Linked DNA regions of Macaca mulatta. The protein of the gene in region 1 purifies or fractionates together with the protein of each later gene. This does not show direct contact. Links are inferred from orthologs where the notes say so. Each region holds a gene or a part of one and is shown on either strand. Other genes may lie near its edges.

Region 1 (3,313 bases):
CCAACACTTTGGGAGGCCAAGGCGGGAGGATCATGAGGTCAGGAGATCGAGACCATCCTGGCTAACACGGTGAAACCCCATCTCTACTAAAAATACAAAAAATTAGCAGGACGTGATGGTGGGCGCCTGTAGTCCCAGCTACTTGGGAGGCTGAGGCAGGAGAATAGTGTGAACCTGGGAGGCGGAGCTTGCAGTGAGACGAGATCGAGCCACTGCACTCCAGCCTGGGCGACAGAGCCAGACTCGGTCTCAAAAAAAAAAAAATCCAGGAGAAGTTTGTTTATTTAGCTCCTCATCAAGTATCTAACACAATTTTGGCCCTGGGAATGGCCCTGGGCCCCACTCAAAGAGCTTCCTCTCCTGGCATAGCCTGAACAGTAGTGATACCTCTTGAGAAACGATGCACCCCGGGCTGGAGCTGGGAGGCCAAGCTGAGCTGCCCCGTGTTTCAGGGTGTGAACAGGGATCGTGGGGCTGTGAGGCCACCCCACTGCCCTGCTCCAAGCAGCCACTGGGCCTCAGTGGCTTCAGATTCTCTGCTTGAAGGGCACAAGAGAGTCACGGTGGACACCTTTTCTAACACACCCTTGGACTAAGTCTGCAGCAGAGGGCTAGACACAGGCAGCTGTTTGTACTTGTGCATGAGGGAGGAGGAACCTGGCGGGGCACTGTGTCTTCCTCCGTTAAGTTCACAGGCTGACAAGGAGGCACTGGAGGCTTCACCAGCCACAGCAGGCCCTGCCTCGAGCCCCTGCCCAGCCCCCGCAGCCTTCTTGGCATCACAGAATGGAATGTGTATGGGTGGCTCCCCATCCCCCAATTTCAGATTCTCCTAAGTCCCTGGCACAGGGATTCTTCAGCATGTCCCCTAGGCAGGAATGGGAACATCTTGCAACAGACCTACATGTGGGTTTTCCTGGGATTTGGTTTTGCCTGTGGGTTTTCCTGGGATTTGGTTTTGCCTGTGGGTTTTCTGGCCTTCACGAATTCAAGGAAGCATGTGATTTGGATTGAAGGATCACTGTTGGTACAATCATGAGGATGGTCTCAGGCCACCTCTCAAGATTTCGGACCCGAGGAACTGGTTCCAGACTTGCAGGCCCAGATTCTTACCCCTGAGGGTCAAGTTTCTGGTGGGGCCTGCAGACTTTGTACTAAGTGGCCTCTGTGTCCCTTTCAACAGTAGCCTGTGGCCCCTCGAGGGTTGCTCAGTCCCTAGGTGGCACAGCCAGGGACAGTGGTGCTGAAGCTTGGGTGATAAGCTGTAGTCCCACTGGGAAAGTCCACATTCAGACAGGAAGTGGAAGCACCAAGGCCTACTGGAATGAAGTTCGCAGACAAGCAGTGAGGGCTGCAGGCTGCGGTGCTTCAGGACGGATGTTTGGAGAACGCATGCCAGGCTGTGCCAAGTGGTTGGTGGGGCCAAGCCAGGGATACCTCTTGCTGCTACTGAAGGACCTCCTGAGCCCCAGAGTGCTGAGCACCCCAAGCCCCACAGAGGAGGTACAGAGTAGGGTTTGGACTCAGTTTTCCCAGCTCCCCACCAGAGGCTCTGCCACCTCCACTCTGTAGTGGTGTGTGGGCTACATCATCAGGGCCAACTTATCAGTCGGGTCTCCTAGGGCCGATGGGTCCAACTGAACAGGACTTCCACCAAGGGGTTACGGAGTGGACCATACTAGGGCCTGTTTCTTCATGAGCGCATGAGGGAGCGTGGGTGCGATCTCCTCAGTCATTCACTGAGCACCCCCTTGTCTGGGCTCTGGGGCACAGCAGGAAGCAAAGTGAGGGACTGAAGTTCCGCTCAGGGAGAGATGAAGTACCTCTAGTTGCTGGAACCTGAGACCAGACTTTGTGACCTTCAGCACAGCCCATGTAAATAGACCCTTTGCCTTTTCTCCAGGATTCTCAGGAGCCAGACGCCTGCCGGATCCATGCTGGAAGCAAAGCTGCCAAGTACTTGGCCACCGATGCATTGGAGCTTATGGTGCCTGGTGGCTGGAGGCCTGGGACTGGGGCCCAGCAGTTGGAACCCCCTGCAGAGGGCGGGCATCCTGGCATGGCCCAGAGAGGCCAGGGGGACCTTCAGTGCCCTCACTGCCTGGAGTGCTTCAGTGACGAGCAAGGTGAAGAGCTCCTCAGGCATGTGGCTGAGTGCTGCCAGTGACTGAGACTCACCCGTGCCCTTACGGCCCCCTGGCCCGGTGCAGCTGCCCTCAGGGACAGGGTGGGTACTCTCAGATGCCATGGGTTGAGCTCTCCTGAGATCCAAGGCCCCTAAATAGGTGCGGGGCACTGTGATCATTCCCGTTGGTCCCCCTTTGGCTATGGAACAGGCTGGGTCACAGGGAACTGCCAGTGAGGCTGGAGGCTGGAGGTGGAGATGGGGTTAGGAACATCTGGCAGAGGGAGGTCCTGGTCTGTGTCTCCATCAGGCTGAAGCCAGAGCAATCTAGTGCTAGCGTACCAGCCCCTCCCCTAGCCTGCACCTGGGCATGCCGCAGCTTGCCAGAAAGGGGTGGCTGCCTATGGGGGTCACTTGTATGGTCCTTAGGGTGGAAGCCCCATCCTGTTCTGTAGCATAAGGTGTCTCCTCTCTGCCTTGAACCAGGAGGTTTGTCCAATGGAGCATTGCGGCTGTGCATCACACTAGGGGGGCCGCCCCCGCCATTGCAGAGCCGCATGTCTGCCCTGAGAAACTGCATCGCAGTAGCACTGTCATCTGTCCGGAAGTTAAAGCACACTTACTCTATCCACCTATTTTTATAATAAACGTTCTTGCTACTGTGACTGCTCTGAGAATGTGTGTTGGAAGCTGGGGTGCAGGGACTGAGCAGTATTGACAGCAGCTGGCACGGGAAAACGCTCCTGCTGTTGCCTTCTCCCAAGGCACCAAGACAAGGGGGTGAGTGGGAGCCTGGCTGTGTTAGGGTTCTTTAGAGGGACAGAACTAATGGAATAGATAGATCCATAAAGGGGAGTGTGTTAAGTATCGACTCACACGATCACAAGTTCCCACAATAGGCCATCTGCGGGCTGAGGAACAAGGAGAGCCAGTCCAAGTTTTGAAACTGAAGAACGTGGAGTCCCATGTTCAAGGGCAAGATGTAGGCTGGGAGGCCAGGCCAGTCTCTCCTTTCACGTTTTTCTGCCTGCTTATATTCTAGCAGCACTGGCAGCTGATTAGATGGTGCCCACCCACACTGAAGGTGGGTCTGCCTTTCCCAGCCCGGTGACTCAAATGTTAATCTCCTTGGCAACACCCCCACAGACACGCCCAGGATCAATACTTCGTATCCTTCAATCCAAAAGT
Region 2 (3,523 bases), on another chromosome or scaffold:
AAAACAAAAAACAACAACTATCCTTGATGTAAATGCACTTTGAAAACCCATAATTCTGCAATTCTGGCTTTTGGGATCCAGATATCTAGGAAACTCAATATGGATAAATGACTTATTTCGATTTGAAACCCAAGTTAGTACGGCCTTACAGAATCCTCTCTAACCATGCACAAGGCTCTGAATTTGTTTCCCACTGGCAGAAACTGGCCACAAATCACTCTACTGTTGAGCTTCAGGGTGGCAGCAACTCAGGTGGCTGAGGTTAAAGACAGTTACAGATGACACAGGAGAGAGCTGAACATAAACTGCTTACTTTGCGGCATTGATGAGATGAGTTGTGCCATGGTCCCAGCCTTGGACAGGGATTTCTATCACCATTAAGTACTCTTTTAAGAGCTTCTCCTTCATCTCATTTTCAGGATCTGTCAAAAAGTGAACTTTCAAGTCTTCAAATCTTCCTCGGTCTCTGTTAACAAGTGGAACAGCTCGGATTTCTGAGGGAAAAAAAATAACACATAAGTAAAATCGTATTCTACTAAACAAGGCCATAGGTAAGTAGATCGCATTTTGAAAGTGTGTAAAATATATAATTTACAGAATAGAAAACTATTCTCAGCCACAGTTAAACCCAAAAGGGAAAACAGAATGTGCTACAATCTAATATAAAAATGCACTGTTTCCAGGAAACTCACAGAATATTAACCAGCCTGGAGGGGGTGGATCTTATTGGTTGAAGTCCCAGGCTTTAGAATCAGACTGACCTGAGTTTGAATCCTGGCTTTTGTCAAGTTGTGTGGCATTAGGCAGGTCAGTTGACCTCTCTAAGCTTTAACTGTCTAATCTGTAAAATAAGGCTACCAAGCCCTACATCTGACAAGAATGCTAAGAGGATAAAAATGCAATAAAATAATATATCCAAAGCACAGTGCTTTTTCCACATGAAGCTATCAAAATAACAGCCAACAGGCCAGGCACGGTGGCTCATGCCTGTAACTTTGAGAGGCCAAAGCGGGAGACTGCTTGTCCCCAAGGGGTTGAGGCTGCAATGAGCCATGATTGTGCCACTGCACTCCAGCCTGAACAACAGAGGGAAACCCTGTTTCAAAAAGAAATAAAAAAGCTAACCTGACAGGCATTTACTTGTTCCATAACAGGCACTATGTGCCTTAATTTATCATGTATGAAAGTACTTTCCAAGTCATATTCAAAAAGATATGAGGGTATTATGAGTTATTGCTATTGCATTACTCTTACTAACCAAGCAAGTCACAGAACAATGCATTTAAATAAAAATAAGATACTTAAATAAGATTATTTCAATAAGAAGCAAAAAAACCCCTGATGTTTCAGTGTCTAGTTACAAATCTGAATTAATGCAGTTTTCTCACCAGGCCCACTGTCCTTCAGGGTCACCAAGGGTACAAAATGATGGCTGTCATAGCCGAGAACAATGGGGTATCTGTAGCATTCCTGGGCAGGCCAATGTAGAGGCAAGTAAATTCCACCCACTTTCAAAGGGGCGAAATTGGAACCTGATTCCAAACTTCTTAGCATTTTGTCTGTTCAAAGAAAGAGAAAGAAAAATGAGACCCTTAGGTGACTTTCATCAAATTCCATTTCACTCTGTTACCTGAACTTTGGCAGTGTGGTTTTCTCGACGAGCCAAGCCATAAAGCTGAAAGCATTTAAGTACAGATATGTGATCTATAGGCATCTCACCTGAAATGACAATGATTGGCCTTCTGAGGATGTTGCAAAGGACAAATATGTGTATTTCTTCCAGTGAGTTGTACTGAAGTCCACTTCGGGCCATGGGTGTGTCTGTGGAAGCCATTTTGATAAGGTTGTCCCATTCATCATTCCAGTTCTAAGGGGAGGGGGGTGAAAGAAAGGAAAAAAAAAGCTTGAATGTACCCTGTACTCCCTGTACTAAAAAGTCATTCTGACATCACTCTACAATTATTCATTTATATAACTCAGCTTATTTTTCCCCTTTCATGAAACTATCATTCAAATGATCACCCTTTTTTCCCCATTTCCATTTTCTTCCTTTACTTTTTTCCACTACAAGGCAAACTCAAAAGTTGGGGAGGACGGGACAGCACCTGCTTTAAAAAAAAAAATCCCTGATGAGGTATCACATTGCAGCCCCTTATCCAAATGTTCACAAAAATTCCAAACTTGTGACTGAGGATGGTGAGGCACGTGTCTTAATCTTATTGGCTGGCTCAGCAAAGCTAAGGGCAATCAAACCGAAAAACAACAAAACACCAGTGGAAAAGGCCATGATCAAAAGACTTGCTGCTACAGGGAACAGATGCACAGCTGGGAATCTGCTAACCAAAAACAGGGCAAGAGCCTTGGGTGAGTCCCACTGGAGGTTTCTGGTGTTTTCCATTGAGTATGCTTCGCTTAGACAAATTCATGTGACCTAGTCCATCAGATGCTACCAGAGGGCAGGGACTCGTCCAGGGGTACCCTATGCCCACCATGGAGCTCTGTCAGTAGATAATTACGGGGAAAAACATACCCGAGTATCATAGCAAAGCCCCGTTTCAACAAATTCCTGAGATTTGAGAGACTCCAGTTGCCAGCGGAATTTAAAGTTGCGTGTGTCTGTTTCCTTGAGCGTGCTGAACAGCGCCTTCCTCAGTACCAGGTCTGTGTCCTGAACGCCCCACATGTACTGAGAAGTGGCATGCATGAGGCAATTGCCATCACCTGAGGACAGAAAGGAAAAGAGAAGGAGTCAAGTTATCTGCATGGAAGGCCCAGCAAAGGTTTCAGAATAAACCAGCCCTACTGCTATTCTAGTGGACTGAATGGTTTAATTTGGTTTAATTTCCTAGTCAAGGGCAAACTGATATTTCATAAGATGATGACAGCTTTAAGGAAAAAACAGTTCTTTTTATTCTTCTTTTTAATGAATGACACCAACTGCAGAGGAGCCAGGGGACCTTGGTTCTAGCTTAACTCTGCTCCTACCTAGTTCAGGTGACCTGGGGGAAATTCCTTGAGCTCTCTGGGCATTTTTCCTGTTTGTGAAATGAGGGCAGTGAGTGACGGTCTCTAAAGCCCCATTCCTTCCTACCATCCCCTGATCTGCCGGTGAAGGCACTGGCATGGCTGCTCTCTAATTCTAAGGAAGCACACACAAGGCTGCACGCACAAACCAGGAAGCAGGCATGGCTTGCTAGACAGGGATGGTCTGGCTGTGACTCAATGGCAAATGACTTGACCATTCCACTTTAGCCTTTGGGCCCTGGGAGTTTCCTCTCCTGGTGTGTAAAGTGGCGTTGACAACACTGAATTACCTATGGCCTGCTAGTCCGGCTCTCAAAAATGCCTTATGCAAACCTGCTTGTTAGTAACTGTAAAGTACAAAAGTTAAAAAGCACCTGGGTGTCTAAATTTGAAAATAATTCAGTGTTTAAGGCTGACATTTTGAGAAAAAAAAAACAAAAAACAAGTTTAATTGTATGCCATTAATTTGTGACATTTCCAGTTTAAAACTCACAATTCA
Region 3 (2,837 bases), on another chromosome or scaffold:
AGTGTACGGATAAAACAGATAAACAAGAGGCGCTGTTTAAGCCTCAGGCTAAAGATGATATAAATAGAGGTGCACCATCCATCACATGTGTCACACCAAGAGGACTGTGCAGAGATGAGGAAGACACCTCTTTTGAATCACTTTCTAAATTCAATGTCAAGTTTCCACCTATGGACAATGACTCGACTTTCTTACATAGCACTCCAGAGAGACCCGGCATCCTTAGTCCTGCCACGTCTGAGGCAATGTGCCAAGAGAAATTTAATACGGAGTTCAGAGACAACCCAGGGAACTTTGTTAAAACAGAAGAAACTTTATTTGAAATTCAGGGAATTGACCCCATAGCTTCAGCTATACAAAACCTTAAAACAACTGACAAAACAAAGCCCTCAAATCTTGTAAACACTTGTATCAGGACAACTCTGGATAGAGCTGCGTGTTTGCCACCTGGAGACCATAATGCATTATATGTAAATACCTTCCCACTTCTGGACCCATCTGATGCACCTTTTCCCTCACTTGATTCCCCAGGAAAAGCTATCCGAGGACCACAGCAGGTAACTGTTTTGCGTTAACAAATATATTATTATGTGTGAACACACATTTTGCCATACATGGACAGATATGCATCTCTTTTACGTTATCTGACATCCTTTTTAAACTACTGTCTAGCCAAAGTTAGGGGTTTCAGAAAAACAAGTCCTATAATAAATGACATGAAATTAGAAAAGCTGAATATGGTAAAACTATTGTAAAGTATCTTAGAATTTATGTCATTTAAAAATTCATGTTAAGCCTTATCCGTATCTATTGTGGTGTCACTTTCTTAGTTCCTTATTCAAAGCTTGTTTACTCAGGATTAATAAGATTATTAAATTTCATAGTGTGAAACAAATGCTGTTTTATTTAATAGTTTCTGTATATCATATTCATCTTTATAAGAATTCACGATCTTATGTAAATAATTGCATCTTACATTCCTATTTATCAACATAAGTGAACTATCTTTCAATGAATACTTCTACTATATCCTCAGTTATATAGTACGTAGATCTGTAGGGTTTAGTTTTGGTTTTGGTTGCTAATCTGGAAATGAACATGTAGCCTAGTATATTTTTAAAATAGTCTCTGCATGTGTATGATATCAGATATTTTATTCAATGTTTCTAAATCTCACAGACTTATGTCCCCCAAACCACTCCTGCCCTCCCTTTTAGATTCAAGTTCCATCACAGAATGATTCTTTTAGTTAAAAAAAAAGTTTAATGTCTGAAAGCAAATGAAAACTATAAAATTTTTACAAAAAACAGAAGCTTATGAAAATAGATTGATGTAAATGTCTATGTAACTTGCAAACATTTGTCTGATTTCTCTTTGCCTTGAGATTTTTTTTTTTTTAAAGTTGTTAATACCCTTTTGCTTTAAGTACACTTATAGGTTATAGACTTAAATCAGCATGCAAAGAAGGCAGTTGTCAAGCTGTGGTATATTTTAGTAGTGGGAAAAACTAGGCATGGCTGACAATAAGTTTTAATTATAACCTCACTTAGGTTCTTGTTCATTATACTTTATTTCACATCATAGTCTCTGTTATAGTTGCTACTAAATGAAACAAATTAAACAATTTCATTTATTGCAAGTAGAATTCCTGTGGAGCTGTGAAGTGCATCAGTTCTAATGCTTGTTACTTTTTTCTCTATTATATGTCTTGCTTGTTCTTTTACTAGTCTGTGCATTCATGTTTCAGTAGATGGCACCCTGCATTGTACATTTGCTTTCTATACTACAGCAAGGGAAACAGCTGGTATGTGATTACAACTTGATGGAAAAGTATTCAGCTTAAAAAATTCAGGAGAATTAGTGTTGAGTTGTCACAAGACATGGGGCATAAGGTTAGATAATTGATATTTTAGCAGAAAAAGCAAAGAAATTAGTTTGTTTTGAAGACCATGTTACAGTTTAGGATGGAAAGAATATTTCTTAAAGTGAGTTTTTTAAAAAACATTTTAAGCTATTTTATTTGTATTAATAAAGCTAGTATTATACAAGCTAGTATAAGTACAAAATTCCTGAGTTGGGCCAGGTACGGTGGTTCATGCCTATAATCCCAGCACTTTGGGAGGCTGAGGCAGGAGGATTGACTGAGCCTAGGAATTTGAGACCAGCCTGGGCAACACAGTGAGAACTTGTCTCTACAAATACATATAGATATATAGATATTTGTAGCTGGTTGTGGTGGCATGCGCCTATTGTCTCCAGCTACTTGGGAAGCTGAGGTGGGAGGATTGCTTGAGCTAGGTAGTTCGAGGTTGCAGTGAGCTGTGATGGTGCCACCACACTTCAGCCTGGGTGACAGAGCAAGACCCTGTCTCAAAATAATAATAATAATAATAATAATAATAATTTTTTTAATCCTGAGTTGTTTGTAGATAGTAACAAAGAGAAGTGAAATTTTTGGCTGCATATTTAAAAATTTTACTTTATATCAATCATTACTACTAAACATCTATTTTATATATTCAGCTATCATAACCAAGACTAAAGTGTATCAGATTATTATTGTTCTATGTGATTTTCTTTTTTACTTTGCTGAGTCAGTGAGTGGGATCCCAACTAAATTCTATGAAGAGATCAAATCTGAACTAAAAGTTCTTAATAGAGAAAAATGAATATGGACTTAATAGGTAAATTGGGAGCAGAAGATTGGCTTACCAAATTTAGAAGCTAAATTGCTTCTGATTTAATTTCTTGCTATTTTATATAAATAAGGACTATCTTTAATAATCTTTTATTTCTGGCCATATCAATTTCCCATTACAGTGATTTGTACTTTTTTG

What was found. The genes of interacting proteins can lie anywhere in the genome.
Region 2: the proteins of TNIP2 (region 1) and TNFAIP3 purify together in Homo sapiens (affinity purification with western blotting; 5 studies listed by BioGRID and IntAct, with this or other methods). This does not show direct contact. The link is inferred for Macaca mulatta from reciprocal best matches to the Homo sapiens genes TNIP2 and TNFAIP3.
Region 3: the proteins of TNIP2 (region 1) and TANK purify together in Homo sapiens (affinity purification with mass spectrometry; 3 studies listed by BioGRID and IntAct, with this or other methods). This does not show direct contact. The link is inferred for Macaca mulatta from reciprocal best matches to the Homo sapiens genes TNIP2 and TANK.

Annotation. Positions count from the first base shown.
Region 1 is NC_133410.1:2,885,749-2,889,061, reverse strand, and holds the end of TNIP2 (TNFAIP3-interacting protein 2), read left to right. Parts: intron 1-1,903; coding exon 1,904-2,126; coding exon of another isoform or gene 2,127-2,167; exon of another isoform or gene 2,168-2,304; intron 2,305-2,611; coding exon 2,612-2,769; 3' UTR 2,770-2,790; downstream 2,791-3,313. UniProt on the Homo sapiens protein: Inhibits NF-kappa-B activation by blocking the interaction of RIPK1 with its downstream effector NEMO/IKBKG.
Region 2 is NC_133409.1:42,967,750-42,971,272, reverse strand, and holds part of TNFAIP3 (tumor necrosis factor alpha-induced protein 3), read right to left. Parts: intron 2,722-3,523; coding exon 2,531-2,721; intron 1,868-2,530; coding exon 1,720-1,867; intron 1,560-1,719; coding exon 1,389-1,559; intron 495-1,388; coding exon 314-494; intron 1-313. UniProt on the Homo sapiens protein: Ubiquitin-editing enzyme that contains both ubiquitin ligase and deubiquitinase activities.
Region 3 is NC_133417.1:66,041,879-66,044,715, forward strand, and holds part of TANK (TRAF family member-associated NF-kappa-B activator), read left to right. Parts: coding exon 1-557; intron 558-2,837.